Linked DNA regions of Bombyx mori. The protein of the gene in region 2 interacts with the protein of the main gene of each other region in a pairwise test. Links are inferred from orthologs where the notes say so. Each region holds a gene or a part of one and is shown on either strand. Other genes may lie near its edges.

Region 1 (8,083 bases), on a different chromosome or scaffold from region 2:
AGGTCTCAGTATAGTTAAAACGGCTGCCCCACCCTTCAAGCCGAAACGCATTACTGCTTCACGGCAGAAATAGGCAAGGTGGTGGTACATACCCGCGCGGACTCACAAGGGGTCCTACTCCCTTAAAAATGATGAAGGGGATATGATACAATTTGTTAGTTTTGAGAAAACAGGCAACAAACTGTTGTTATTTGTAGTTTTTCTTCGTACATAACTCCTTCACAGGCAGTTTCTAAAAAGAGCCTTTATACTCGGAGTTTTAAGGTCTAATATGGTTTATAGACACATAGCACCTTCATTCAATGTAAAAACTGAAAAATCTTAAAATCAACTCATGTCTTCAATTAGAACTACTTTCACGGTTTAATACTTTTCGCTTTATAGTTTTCGTAGTCAAAGATAATTATTTTCCCCCTACCTATTCGCTGGTAGTCTAAGGGGTTATTCGAGCTTAGCACTGGCTGGTAGGTGAGCTTACAGTCTCAACCTGAGTGAGTTGCTAACACTGGCCCTAGCAAGAGCAGTGCTTCGCAGAATCTACCACCGGATCGTAACCGCGACTTACTGAGAAAATCCGGCAAGAAACTCAGTAGGCTGTGTCTATTTGCTAATTCCCACGTCGAACTTTTCCTTGTAATCGACGGGTTGTACTGTACTGGGAATCAGATGGTATTATTCGTTGACATTAGATGTGAGTGGACGTCGAATGGAAAGTCATCACTGTTGTCCATAGATACCGATGATACCAGGGTCATAACCGCTATGACCAGTTTTCTTTGAACCATTAAGTTAAACCATAACTATTGTTTTGCATTCAGGACGCTTCGATCCTCACTTATACGACAGTTGTGTAATGGCCCGAGTTCATTCAATGATTGTGGAACACCTCCTCGACGAGCCACGCTCCCAACTTCTCGGCTACACTCATGTTAATGACGAAGCCGGCATGCAAATGCCTCACATTAGTCTTTGGTCTCTCACCGATGTCAGGATAATGCTTAATTGCATTCAGGTATGTTGAATATAATGTGTTTTTGTACCGAAAATTTAGAAACGCCATATATTTTTTTTATCACTTTTTAAAAATTCCCAAGTATAATTTCAAAATAAATTAGAAAAAAAATCCGATATGCAATCATCCTTGAGTACCTATTATCGTTAAAAATCGCTATAGGAATAGTCACTACAGCATAGTTATATATGTAATCATGCACATGAAGACTTATACAGAAAAAAAAGAATAAGCGCATTAAAAAATAAAAAATAAAGGTTTATTTATTATGCTAATCTTTGACTAGACCTCTTTACTGTATAAACATTCATGATTAATTGAATACAAATATTACTGTACGCCTAACAAATTTTTTTTTTCTTCAAAAATTTTGTAGTTAACTTTTAACTTTTTTTTTTTTTGCCTAGATGGATGGACAAGCTCACAGCCCACCTGGTGTTAAGTGATTACTAGAGCCCATAGACCCCCAAAACGTAAATGCGGCACGCACCTTGAACTATAAGTTCTAAGGCTACAACGGCTGCCCCACTCTTAAAACCGAAATGCATTACTGTTTCACGGCAGAAATAGGCAGGGCGGTGGTACCTACCTACCCGTGCGGACTAACAAGAGGTCCTACCACCAGTAAAAAATATTACCAAAACTGTTTAATAATCGGAATTAATTTGTTATAGAATTCAACACCGATGAGGCACAAGAGGACACATTTTGTGAACATACCGCATTATGGAGTCAGATTTTTCGAATTTGCAGTTTCGTTGTTGAGTGATAAACTGAAAGACCGTGTTATGGTAAGACAATTTTATAGCTTATAAAACATCATATAAACAGCCAATGAGTAGTTTAAGTTTCGAACTGTCTGAACTTAGTGAGTCTCAAATATAAGTGTATTATCTATGTTAGTGAGTTCTTACAGTTCTTAGAGTTATAACTTATAATTAAAAATCTTTTAGTAGTTTATGTCAAAAGGGAGCCTTTTTGTGTGCATAGATAGACAGCGGATGGCTTCTCTACGCATAGATGAGACCATAGATCACAACCTGACTTCCGCTGACCTACTCAAATAAGTAGTGGAAGTCTCAATTGCATTGAAATAGCAGCTATTTTTTTCTTAATTGTCACACCATGAATGGCTTGCAGCAGAAATTGCCATTTCATATGTAAAAATAGGCCTGCGCAGCTTACGTCCCAACATGTAATAACACTAGATAATTTAGAAAAAATGACCTAAGAATTTTTTTTTGTTTGTAATAATAATACAAGGAAGTATATATTAGACAAAACTGAATTTCTCAATCTGTATTTACTGCCTTTAATAAGTTCGTGGGAACGAGTTGAATAAGTTTGGGAAAATAGATTAGCGTAAAGCACTTTTTATGTTTATCGTATCTATTTAACAAGCGCTGACAGTCTATTTTTCATAATAAACTTTGAAGCGAACTACTTTCAAGACAAAAAATATGACTTTTTTTCTCCTACCTACGCCGAAAGTTCGGTTTTCCTCCCGCTGTACAGGGAAGAAAGTTTAACTTTTCCTCCCTGAGTACTGACAAGTGCACATGCGCGTTAGTGTCTACGTCTGCTCTCACGCACCTAAAATTCTCCGCCATTGTTGTGCTCGGGTAATTTGCAATATTGTGTTTAGTGTAAAAGTGAAATAAACAAAAGGCAATAAAATTTGCAGTTATATTGTTTTTTTATGAGTATGGGGTGGCTCCGCCCCCCCTACCCCCTGCCCTGGACCCCACCGGGGCTTCGCCCCTGGACCCCGACTCGGTACTCCACGAACTTTCGGCCTGGTAGGAGAAAAAAGTAGTGTTGGCAATTTTACACGCGGGAGGAAATGTCCTAGTTTTCTTCCTTGGTGCACAATGTACTATTTTTTCAAATTACGTATAATTAGGGAGTACCTGATTTTTATATACCTATTCTAATTGTTTGTTTACAGTTCCATCGTACGAGTAGTGACCTAACAAAATACGTTGACCCTGCCATTTTGCCAAAAGAATATGGCGGTACAGTCCCACTAAAAGATATGATTGAAGAACTGAAACGTAATTTATTGAAGCAAAGAGAGGAGCTACTGGCCTTGGATGACATGTGCATCGATTTGTATGCACTAGAAAAAAATGATTTGACACAAGACATTCATTCAACCGCCGGATCGTTCCGTAAACTTGAATTGGATTAAATATCGGATTAACATAATTACTATTGTTTTAAATATTTTACTATATCTTTACAGTTCTGTGATAGAATACAGTTTCGTAGTAATTTTTTGGGAATACATAGGGATGTTCCGATACCATCAAAGTATCGATACCTACTCATTTCGATAGTACTCAAATCTTTATTCGATACTACTTATATGAATACTCCTAAAGTATCGATACTTACTGATATCTATACTTTTAGCACCTACTTTAAGTACTTACTTTAAACAAAAAACTCTTTGGCATCAAGATTGCCCAAAATCAGTAACTGTTCGAGGTATTTTGGAGACAATCTGTTCCTTGTTTGGTTACTATAGTTGATCGAAGCTTGTTTGAGACATTATTGCACCGGCTTTGGAAAAAAGGCACGCCTCATCCACACCGCGCCGTCGCGTCGCCGCGCCGCTACGCGATGGATGAATACCGGTAACCGAGCGAGTGGGCTTTTACTCTCTCGTTCTCTATAATGCGTTCGGAAATTTTAAACTTTTTTAATGGTAATGCTGATTCGATTTGATACCAAGTACTTTTGTTTCGATACCGAGTATGTATCGCAAGATTGATTCGATACTAGAAATACTTGGTATCGAATCAAAAGTATCGAGTACTTACTCGTATTTACTAGTATCGGAATATCCCTAGGAATACGTTGTTAAGTTCATGACAATTTCTTGTAAGTTAATGTTTAAGGATCACTAATAATCCTAATCTCTTTAAAATAAGATTACTTTTACAATAATTCGTTTTTTTTTAAAATCCAGATCTCGTTTTATATGTAACTAAATACATGATTATAATTAATTTTGATGTGAATAGTAGATAAGCTTATTCTGGCTACATTTTGGTGTGACTCGCAAAATTTTGAATTAAATGCGATTAGAACATTAATTGTTTAATATTTGTTAGGAATACTAGCACGCCATCTGTCATACGTAAATAGTATCTTGCCAGAAACCTCTGCGTTGCTAAATATGCAATTAACTTACTTAACTTTTATTTTGTCGGATTAATAACGCACAAATGTATAGAAAATTGAACAAAAAAACAAACTAGACCACATTGTTTTAATACTTAACTAGAAAAATAGGTGAAATTACGTATGACTTCTGATTTAATACCTATTTTTCTTGCTTTCTTTTTACTATACAGTGTAGTGTAGTGACTGGTGACAGCCGTCGGTGGTGTCACGTTACCAATAAATTAAAATGGCAATCTGAAGAAGAAAAGAAAACTACATCACTATTACTAATATTCCGGTATAAATAATTATGTTACTAGTTTAAATTTCAAACAGCTAATATGACGATAATTAAACAAAATCCCTGGAAAAATCTAATGTACGAATAATTGTTACACTGCTGTCTGGTAATTCAATTTAAGCTTAGTTTTAGTTCCATATTACGCTGTTCAAATAATAAAAGTACTTAAATTATGTACTAGGTGTGTTTCTTTTTAAGCAGTCCTATCCGTTGTTCAAAATCGTGTGTACGTCACATGATGTAGTCATCATGCTAAGGTATACCAAACTAATATATTTATCTGAGAGGTATACAAAGGATTGTAGATATTACTAAAGGACGGAGATATTATAAGCTCACTGAACCAATGACATTTACGATTTTAATGGCTACAACTTCTGCAGCAGACATAAAAAAATATGATACAAATGTCTAATTCAAATATGTGCAACCAGTAGTAGCATCTATTAGTAATTATTAGTTTTTCTTAAAAAAAATTTATTCAATGTCAATGATATAATTATATAAAATAAAATGGACGAAGAAAACAAAAGACTTACCTTAAAGGCCTTAATACCAGATCATACAATCTTTAAAAAATATCTTTGCATTTAAGCATAGACACGTACACGTACCATAAATTTAAGATGACCTTGAAATGCGGCACTATCGATAGCTAACTTCACTGTAGTTTTTCCCGCAGTTTGGCGTCCACACAGATTGAAAAAATATTACAAGAGAAATTTCTATGTATTTAGATCAATAGGACATTCGAATTTCCTAATGATTTTTACTCCAGTGACGTTTTAATAACACGATTATGTTATTTTAGTGATTTATTTTTCGGAGATTGTGTAAGGTGTGTTATAGTAAACATCGGGACGTGAACGCAGGCCCACGTCTATGACTTGTTGTGAGTATTTCAGGAATAATGGTAATTGTATGTTTTAGTTTCTGTTACAAAACGGTAATCCTCAAATAGATTGTATGAATTTTGTTTATTTTGTTATGAATATTATATTTTAACCTATAAATATGCAGTTATGTTATTTGGGTGTGAAAACTGCTTTAATTCGTTCGTACCTAATCCTTTTGCAAGCGAAAAGTGAAGCACGAGTATGATACCAAAGCAAAACCTCCGTGTTTCATATCAAGACGGTTTTTTCCTCCTCGAGAACGTCAAACGTTATGTTTGTTTTAGAAAATCAGTCGAACCTAAATATTTAGATTTCGTTTGCAATGTTTTTCGTCGTGGATAAATCAAAATCAATAAAGATGTTTGATAAGAACTCTATTGGGGCATTCATAGACCTGTGGCTTGATTCACTAAGTTTATCATTAACTTGTAAACAAAATCAAGGATTTAAACAAGAAAAAAGTTATGAATTTGATTAACTTTGCAATTTTGATGCAAATGTAGCAAATTTTCATCAATACATTCAATAATTTTGTTTAGAAGAAAATACATCTACCACAATATAACCAATATAAAATTCACTTTCAAACAAACATTTTCATGTTTTTTTTTTATGTTTAATAATGAATACTATAGTGACAAGAAATGGTTAATTGTATTACCCACTGCATACACTGTATCCAGTTCAATTAATAAAATTTTTAATATCAATGATTCTAAAACTGTAAAAATTAAATTCCTATTTATTGATGAACTTGTAAGAATAAATAAGAATGAATAAAATAGAATATTTGAATAGTGATATTTTTAAAGAATGCTGCTAATGATTTTTCTGTACAATGTGCAAGCTTTGGCAATATTATACAAAAGTTTGTTGAGATTGCAATTATCAATTCATATAGCTAACTTCCTTTTTGGCTATAATTTATTTCTACATATCTCTAGAGAGATAATCATTCAAAAACTAATTTAAAAAGATGAAATTGAGAACTTTACAAAAATTTAGACCTTTTTCACAAACAAATTGAATAATAAATTAAATAAAAAAAGAAAATAATACGTTTTCTTTTGTAATGGCGGTCCTTTTTGAAGGAAAATAATAACTATTCTAAGCTCATCTTCACCTGGAATGATATGGTTATAGGTTTTCTGGAATATGGTTCATAGGTTTTGTAAGATTTCTAAATGAAAAACCTTGTCATCTTAATTTTTAAAAACACAAGGCTACAGAAATCTCCTGCTAATAAGAAAATTTACTTTAAAATATTAGAATTATTGTTTTGTGATATTTACATTATATTTTCAAGTTGTCAGGGCCTAAACGATATTTTTTTTTTTTGTACTTGTACTAAACAATGTATGTGATGTCTGGACCGTCTGATGGGCTCTAGTAGCCGCTCAATAAAAAGAGACCTGTCCGCAAGCTCATCATTTATCCCATAAAAAATACTAAAAACAATAGTAACAAATATTGTTGACAAAAGTATCTCAAGCTTGTTTGTCTGGAAAACTTAATTTTAATTTTTGTCCGCATCGGAGTATGATGCTACAGTTTAATCTTTTTCACACTCAGCCGTACCCAGAAAATGACGATGAGCCTGATTGGAGCCCAAGTCTCAAGTGAGTGGTGTCAAGTGGATAATAGAATCCATAGACATACAATGTAAATACCACTACTCATCTTGAGACATGAGGTCGAACTCTCATTCATATAATGTGTTCCAGTCTTTATACAAGAATGTGTGGCTGCTGGGTAGAAATTGGTAGGGTTTTGGTACCTGTAGATTATATTGAGGGATGAAAGGCTGTTTGGTTTAAGTGACATTTCAATTAATATGCGACATTTATCTTTGTACGTAATGGTGCGTTTTATTCAGTATTATCATCAACAGTTTGATGTTATTAATTAAACATCAATAAAGCTTACTCCATTGAAATAGCTGAAGAAGTTTTTTTTGTAATGATATTTTTTCCAAATTTTAAACGGCTCTCCAGTAAAGTTGCAAAAACTTCGCTTAAACCAAATAGTCTTTCACCCCTCAATGTCAAGTAAAATGAAGAGAGGTTATAACAAACATTCAAAGCAAAAAGTTTAAAATTAATTTCCACACATATACATTAAAATAGAGAATTACATAACTCTCTGCCCACTGAGTTTCTCTCCGGATCTTCTCAGTGGGTTGCGATCTGGTGGTAGATTCTCCGAAGCACTTCTCTTGCTAGAGCTAGTGTTAGCAAATTCTCTCAGGTTGAGCCCTTGAGCTCGCATAGCCATCTGTGAAAAGCTGGAATAGCCCCTAAGGCTATCAGCAAATAGGTACCAAAAAAAAAACAACTTTAATTATATTAAACTTTACTAAACATGTGTACACATTCCTATGTGTATGACATTGTCATTTTGTGCTATAAGAAAATAATCAATCAGCTATTCATAGATCATTGACTAATACTAATGGTTCAGCTTGTTAATGTCTATGGGCTCTTCGAACTATTTAACTCCAGTGTGAGCTCTGAGTTCTATGACCTATCTAGGTAAATAATTAAAAAAGTATGCAGCAGCACAACAATTTGCCTCATATGATAAATGCTATTTAGTCATTTTATAAATCCTTTAATGTTTCCCAAAACAGTGATTGTGTAATTGTTTTAATTTCATAAATATCCATTATAAGTAATTCATTTTTGATCTGTTTTGTTATTGGTG
Region 2 (8,048 bases):
TTACATATTATTACATTTAGATTATTTTAACAATGACTTTTATTACGTAAGTTTAAAGAAATATATTATATTTCCATAAGTTTTCCAGAACAACAACTGCAAGGATAAAAATCTTTGAAATCAATACTTTTCTTCATGGGATCGATTAAAGAATTATTGTTCAAGTTTGTGAGGAGTTTCATTATTTGCTCGATTTCAATATTCTTGGAGTGTTTTTGTAAGCAAGAAGAGATGTCTTCATCTTCAGACAGTTTTACGAGGATAGCAGTCAATTCTTCCAGCTGTCTTTTAAGTTTACTACATTCCGTTTCAAACATATTTAACTGAATACTTCGCTCTTCGTCTCGTCTTTTTAATAAGCTGCGTTGTTGCTGATATAAAGCTACGTATTCACAAATAGTATCGGTTTCATTTTGCAATTGTAAAATTATATGCTCAAGCCGATGCTTTTCATCAGATAAATCGGCAACATCATTCATTATTTTTAAAAAACGTTCCTGTAGTTTCTTCATTGCATCGTCCTTTGCGATTAAAATATCAGGTTTTTTGCCATTATCAACCAATACTTCGTGTTTGCATACATCATTTTGATTCAAACATATCTCAGTATCATCAGTTCGTAGACAATCTATTTTACTATCTAACGGTTTTTCGCATTCCGAAATTTCGTTAGATATATCGTCGTTAGCAGACTCATTACTTTTTGCGGCGTTTCTTAAGTTTATTTCCATCTCCCTATAACTTGACTGTAGTCTTATCATTTCACTATCTTTGGCTTTTAATTTAATTAACATATCTTTTGCTTTCTCCTCTGCATCTGCTAATTTTATTGTAAGTTCGCGATTCAAAAATTTTTCAGCGCTCAATTTTTCTGTTAACTCTAACTTGTCTTTACTCTGTAAATATGCACAAAAAGTTTTAAATTTTACGTACTTGTTTACCCTCTATTCTATTCTATCAGCCCACAGACGTCCACCGCTGGACATAGGTCACCCCAAGTCTCTCCACAAAGATCGGTCCTGCGCTGCTTGCATCCTGCGGATCCCCGCGAACCACAATAGGTCGTTGTTCCATCTTCGGTCTACCCACTACAACATACAACACCTACAACTTTCCAGCCCCAACAGTCATCCGTTCTACGAGAAACGCGCCCTGCCCACTGCCACTTCAACGTCGCAATTCTTCTACCATGGTTTTCCTGCGAATTTCCTCATTACTGATTTGATTTCGTAAGGAAACTCCGAGCATAGCCCTCTCCATTGCTCTTCTTTACTCTCATCACAAATTAATTAATCACCGAAATTATAAATATATCCAAAACATATCATAATAAGTAAAATAAGTAATAAGAAAAGATTCACAAAACAACCTAAAAACTAAAATGAAAAAAAACTGCAATGTTTCAAAAAGTAATTAGTTCTCTGTACTAAATTAATTTGTTAAACTATAATGGTATATTAATCCATTTTCCAAGTGTCTCATTACTTTTCAACTACAAATATAATAAAATATACATCTAGTTTACAAACAATCTTACATCCAAATAGTGTCTGATATTTACAGACATCGGTAAACACTTACCCTTGAATGGGCAGACACAGCCACCCACCTTGGGATATTAGCTCAATGTAGCATTTTTACTGTCTAATGTTTGCACTAGTTTTCAAATTGAAACTCCAAGGTTGTTTCGTTTGTTAGGCAGAAATGTACAGTTAGTACATGCAATGTTAGTACTAAATGTTATGAACACCAATGCCAATTTTTTCTACAATTTTTTTTCCTACTGCTAGTAACCTCGGGATATTCTAGCTTCACGAAACATCACCAATTAAGCAAACAATAAAATGATATCTAATGTGATTTTAGAAATTGCTGATTATTATTTTACTTATTGATTTATAAATGAAGCTGCTATACCATTTTAACAAATGCATCCTCTAAATTCTGCATGTCCTGTTTCAGTATTTTGTTTTGCTCGGTGGCTTTTTGAGCAGCTATTTTGTCACTAGCTATGTCCGCATTCAATTTGGATAGACTTATTTCCTCAAGCTTCGCTTCAGAATCTTTGTTTTTTTCTAAATCTTTAATTTTTGCAATGTTTTCATTATTTAATGTTTCTAGTTGTTCATATTTATTACTCAATTCACAGAGTTTTTTCTGTAACACCAAGTGTCTAATTAATGTACTAATAATAAATTACTGGGTTGCCAAATTTTTTATCAAATCTTGAAAAAATGGGCAGAGTTAACTGAGTAGATATTTTCAAGACTTGTTGGTTTTGTCTGTATTTGTTCTATTTAAGTATTCATTGTACCTTAGTAGAAATGCTCCTCCACTCAAACATTTACTTTTTAGTGCTTTGTGTCAGTAACCCATAAACCATTTGTGTTGGAACAATTACATGAATTTCAGACAACCACTGCTCTTTTAGAGCGATTTTTAGCTAGTTCATCGGACTTTTAATTGGACTCGATACCAAGATGGTCAGACTAAATTGATGCTATTGCACTTTATTTGCTCAATGTGAGCTCTTGTGGCTATCAAACTTTACTGTTAATAGGAGTCATATGAGCCCGTATCGGTAGGTACAATCAACCAATCGACCTATTTTTGCCATGAAGTAATTTAGCGTTCCAATTTGAAGGATGGCACAGCCATTATTCTATACAATTCTGACTTAGATCTCATGTCTTAAGGGTGTCGGCATTCAAATTCTGATGTCTATAGGCGGTAATCACTAAACACCAGATGGCCCATGAGCACTTTGATCCACCTATGCAATAAATGTATAAAACCCTAAGTTTAGCCTTAAGGGCTGTTAGTGCTTTGAGCGCAGTTTGACTATCTCTGAAGCTGTAGATAGTCCAATTCTTGTGTTTTCTCACATTCTTAGCAGCATAATTTTGATTGCATGTCTCCACTCGGAAGACTGGTTTACTGAAATTTTAGGCATATATGACAGTATAGGTTCCTAAACAAATTTCAGAACTATTCATGTACTTAATTAGGGTATTTTCATGTGTAAAAAAACTTCCATCATGGCTGGAATGTACATTCTGAAGTTTCTGAATAAGCTAGATTTTGTTGTCTTATTATTAATGTAACTTACACTAGTTTCTTCATATTTGTTTTGTAATTCTTTAAAGTCATCACTGTTATTATTACGAGATGTTGATGTTTCAGTAACTTGGGTGCGGTATGAACTATAATTCTGCAATCTTATTTCCAAATCGCTTATCTGATCAACAAGACTAGTTTCTCTGTTAGATAAACGCTCAACCTCTCCAGCAAGACTTTCATTTTGTGAAACCATATTTTTTAAATGTTCATTTAATTCAATAACATAATGTTGATAATGTGTATGAATATTATCTTTTTCTTTTTGTAGAGTTTTTAACTGTTGTTCTAAACTAGAATTTTTTTGCTTTAAGCTCTCATTTGATTCAACATTAGTGTTTCTCCCATCAGAAGTAGAAGCATAAGCCCCATTCGTAAGCTGCTGCAGTTGTAGCTGAGTTGAATCAAGCTGATTTTGAAGGTTGAATAATTGACTATTGAGAGAACTATTTTCTGTTTCTTTAGCAGTAAGCATTGTTTTGGTAAATTCCAGTTGTTCTTGTAAATTATTAATTTCATCTGAGAGACTGGAATTACTCTTTTCTAATTCTTGTATTTTGTTATCTTTGATCAGCAACTCATTAGTCAACAACAAACTATTGTTTTGTAAAGTTTTGGTTTCATTTTGCAAATTATGGAATGATTGATTAGATTGATTAATTAATTTTACAGCATCAGTATATTTCTGTTCTAGCTCTGATAATTTTGATTGCAGCTCACTGACTTGCGTTTCAAGTTTTCTCTCATTACAAATGAGAATTTCTGTTGCACTGAGTGTATTTTCAAGCAGCTTATTATCGTAGTTCTCCTCTAAAATATTATTGTTTTCACTATTTTTTTGCTTTTGCTGAGGAGACGAGTCAAAATCATTGACTTCAGAAGCTAATTGAGGTGGCGAATGATTTTGATCATTCGTTTTCAGACATGTTTCTTTCTGAACATTTCCTAGTTTTTGTTCTTGATGTTCTCTCAACTGTAATTTAAAAATATAAATAAAACATTCAATAATCACTATTCATGTAATAAATTACTATTTAAGTTATGTATTTATTCTTATTATCGTATTGTTGTTCAACAAAACAACCATTAGTGCCTTTATCGTATTTTACAAAATATTACCTATGTCATATTTTAAGCTTTTGGGCCAGGGAATTAATACTAATTATTTTCTATGATATACCTAAATACCTTTTTGCGAGCAAGTTCTAATTTAGCAGCTCTGGCATCCATCGTTTTAATTGGAAAGGAGACGCCTCTAGAGTTAGAGGCTAGGTATCTCAAAACATAGTACACTAAATATTTTCTCAACGTATATACACAACTTAATGTAGGTAATGGCTATGAATAAATTCATAAAATTTATTTGCGCCCAACGAAAACCTCCACGTATTTTAAATCGGAATGCAGAGTATGGCAGTCATAGATTATACCCTTAATATCATAGATTATACACTTAATATATTCGAGAATTAATATATTTGAGAATTGCAGCGTAGGCAATACTCTCAATACTCTGAATCTATGACTAGGGAGGTACGGTACTATCTGATACTTTTAAAATTTTTATTTTACCCTAAATTTCCCAGAAACTATACATAAAATCTCTTTTGAAAATTCCTTCACTTAGGGCGAACAAGTATAAAAAAAACATTCCTTTGCATATTTTATTACCAAAAATCAAACTAACAGTCAAGTACATATTTAGAACAGTCAAAGGCCAATACAATATTGCGCATTTTCGCGGTACTGAATATCGCACTAGTAGACACCAAAAAAGCAGTTGTTAGCTAGAATTCCTGACTTAGTAACAAGTATTCCGTTAAGGGTTTCTTTAGTCAGCTTGTTTCTATTGTGAGTTGAACAATCTTTCGCATTCTGTATTTGAAGATAGAACCTTTGTAGAGATATCACCACATCGAGGTTTTCATAAAAAAAACAAAGTTTCACTCAAGCTTAATCCAGTAAAGTTCGTTAAGTAAGCGCTTAGCTGTTCTCTATAGTTATTGTTTTTTGTTAAGATTTGCCTGTTTTTAGGTATCATTAAAAAAACTCGGGGATAACAATCAATAATATGTTTATTGTATTGTGGATAATACTTGGGTAATAACTCTTCGGCCCGTTGTGTATGTTGTACATGAGGAGCGCTCACAATCAAGGTCTATGTTCTTGAAGGTCTTATCTATGACCGTAAGGGACAGCGTGACCAGATTTAGTAGATTTCTACTTTTTTGGTAGATTTTGAGGTACCGGCAACAGAATTTAGTATGTAAAAATTATTTGGTATATTTTAGTAGAATTCACGCTTTTCAGTTATTCTAGTACTTTTTTGGCATTTTGGATAAATTCGGGGTATTCCCTCTTTCATCGAATGGATTGTAACTATTTAATTTTCATTCTTTTCTTACCATTCGTGCCGTGAGCATAGTGTGATAGACTAGTGGGAATTCCTTCAATGAGAATTTTTATAATTGAGCTTAAAATGAAACATAAATATATACAAGGATATCGCGATGTCCCACTCATCACGATATCCTTGTAGTTGTAACAGAAAACATGCAAATTGTTGACAAAGAATATATTAAAATTAGATGTTTCCGTGTCTAATTTATTGTCAACTTCCAGTTCGACGTCTGAATCTTATATGGTGGATACATTTTGGAGTGAAGTCAGCGAAATCTGTGATGCGAATAGCAAGCCAAGGTATGGCAATTTGTCCCGATTTGTGAAGCAAATGACTATACTACCCTTGTCAAACGCCAAAGTAGAAAGAATAATTTCTAATATTAATAAGATTAAAAATCAAGATCGAAATTTATTTAATAATAAGAATGTTGCTGCAATAATGCATGGAAAAGAGGGGCTACGACAGTTGAAAGGAGGATGTCGCACATTTGATCCTGACAGAAGTATTATCAAGTTAATGGATTCAAAACAACTTTATGAAAATGTTAGCCAACATAAAGACGCAGAATTTTAAGTTTAAGTTTCATTTAATTTTTTTTTTTTATTATTATTTAGAATTTAATTTAAAAAAAAGAACTTTGATATTGTTGGAGTTTGAATATAAATGTAATGGCCAGCAACACTTGAAACATGATTACAGATTTCGAATACATATTACAATTATTTTAAATGTTTAAAAAGCAAATGATTGTATTCTCGTAATGCCGGTCACTCAGATGCGCGCAAATATTCGTACATTGTAGGGCCGACAAACATTCATTCGCAAACTTAGCGGCTGAGCAAATGGGTTCGGTACTCAATTTGCGAACCCGTTTGCGCTTCCTCCTACACTTGTTTACGAATGTCTCACGAATTTCTCCTCCTCCTTTTCGTCAATAAAACATTGAAGAGAAAAAGAGTTTTGAATTATTTCCCAGACATCATTAATAGCCATGATGTTTTTATGGGATTTCTTTTGATGAAGATACGCTACACGGTAGACGTCACGATCTATGAAAATAGCGAAACGTCCGTTGTCTTCGCAATCCTGGGCGCAACTGGTCACACGAATGCGTGGGAGACTACGCGAAGGATCGCGGTTCGCGCGCTTTGATGTCTGTTAAAAAACCGACACAGCTTGGAAAACCACGAATGCAGCGAAAACTTTGCATAATCATTTGCAAATGTCGTCCTACACTTGCGGGTTTGCGTATTCGTGTGAATGTGAGTGACCGGTGTAAGAAAAAGTCAGGACTTCTCATCTAGACACGGTCAAAGAAATATGTAAGAGTTTTATAAAAATATAAAGATAATAATTTTATAATGGTGTAACAGTGTTCAAACTATCTGCACTATAATTGAGTCGACTATTATCAAAGCCGGCAATCTGACTTTTGGATAATTATTGGTAAATCAGAAAAACGAATTATTGACTTTGTATTCCATTGGCAGTCACAAAACTCTTCGGAACGACATCTTAGATAAATAACAGGTTAACTATTAACCTTTATTTAATGCAGGTTTTGAACAGTATTCTTTGAAGGAGACGATTATATTCAAATCAATCTGTATTGACATATGAATAACATTTTTTTGTCCAAATGCACAGATTGCCACCTTTGATAATAGACGACTCAATTATAATGAAGCAGTCTGTTTTTAAATAGTCCCTCATCACCTACAGAACCCATCCCCTCAAATTTAACCGTCCAACAGATATCTTGAATTAATGGTGGATTCTTTGTTATTTTTATTATTTTATTGTTTAATCAAGGAAATATTCATTTTTGTACGTTGTAACACGACAGATTTTTAGTAGTTCTCGTTCTCTTTTGGTAGAATTCAGTAAATTTTAACCTCCACTAGCAGTAGATTTGTCAAATCAAATCTGGTCACGCTGGTAAGCTCAAATATATTAAGTGTATAATCTATGCTGGTAAGGGAGTACCATTCCCCCATTTCCCCCCTCTAATACACTATAATCGTCGTCCTCCTGATGTACGGTCGTTGACAAGAGAAGCTCGATATAAAAAAGTAATGAAATAAATCGAATTACTCATTAACCTTCTGCATAAAGAGTAAGCAATGGGAAGTACAACTACCTTATCAAATGAACATGCGGACGCTTTCAGTTCAATAAATGAAAGACCGGTGGATGATATTTCACTGGAATTTTTCTACAAACCTCATACTATAACGTTATTAGCTGTTTCGATTGCTTCAGTTATTTATACAGCATTTGTCAGGTATGTCCGATTGTTTTTTCGTAATTTACTAAAGATAATAAATATATGTTAAGTGATGTAATCCACTAAGAAAACGACTATAACCTTATAAATAAAAAATACTAAAAAGAGTAACAAATAAAATTCTCTCTAAAATATAAATACGATTAATTGTAAATTATAGTATTCTTAATCAATGGATTATATGCTGCGAACTCAAATATAGTCTGTTTTACCTTGGTACCAATGTATAAAATAAACACT

What was found.
Region 1: the proteins of golgin subfamily A member 2 (region 2) and NADH dehydrogenase [ubiquinone] 1 beta subcomplex subunit 9 interact in a two-hybrid assay, tested with the Drosophila melanogaster proteins (2 studies listed by BioGRID). The link is inferred for Bombyx mori from reciprocal best matches to the Drosophila melanogaster genes GM130 and ND-B22.

Annotation. Positions count from the first base shown.
Region 1 is NC_085126.1:4,500,921-4,509,003, reverse strand, and holds the start of NADH dehydrogenase [ubiquinone] 1 beta subcomplex subunit 9, read right to left. Parts: upstream 5,379-8,083; 5' UTR 5,099-5,378; exon of another isoform or gene 5,024-5,098; intron 4,662-5,023; exon of another isoform or gene 3,204-4,661; coding exon of another isoform or gene 2,961-3,203; intron 1,804-2,960; coding exon of another isoform or gene 1,687-1,803; intron 1,013-1,686; coding exon of another isoform or gene 819-1,012; intron 1-818. Other genes in the region: retinaldehyde-binding protein 1, read left to right, coding at 819-1,012, 1,687-1,803, 2,961-3,203.
Region 2 is NC_085110.1:8,616,384-8,624,431, reverse strand, and holds the start of golgin subfamily A member 2, read right to left. Parts: upstream 4,562-8,048; 5' UTR 4,348-4,561; coding exon 4,306-4,347; intron 4,091-4,305; coding exon 3,110-4,090; intron 2,158-3,109; coding exon 1,918-2,157; intron 897-1,917; coding exon 66-896; 3' UTR 1-65. Other genes in the region: phosphatidylserine synthase, read left to right, coding at 7,645-7,805.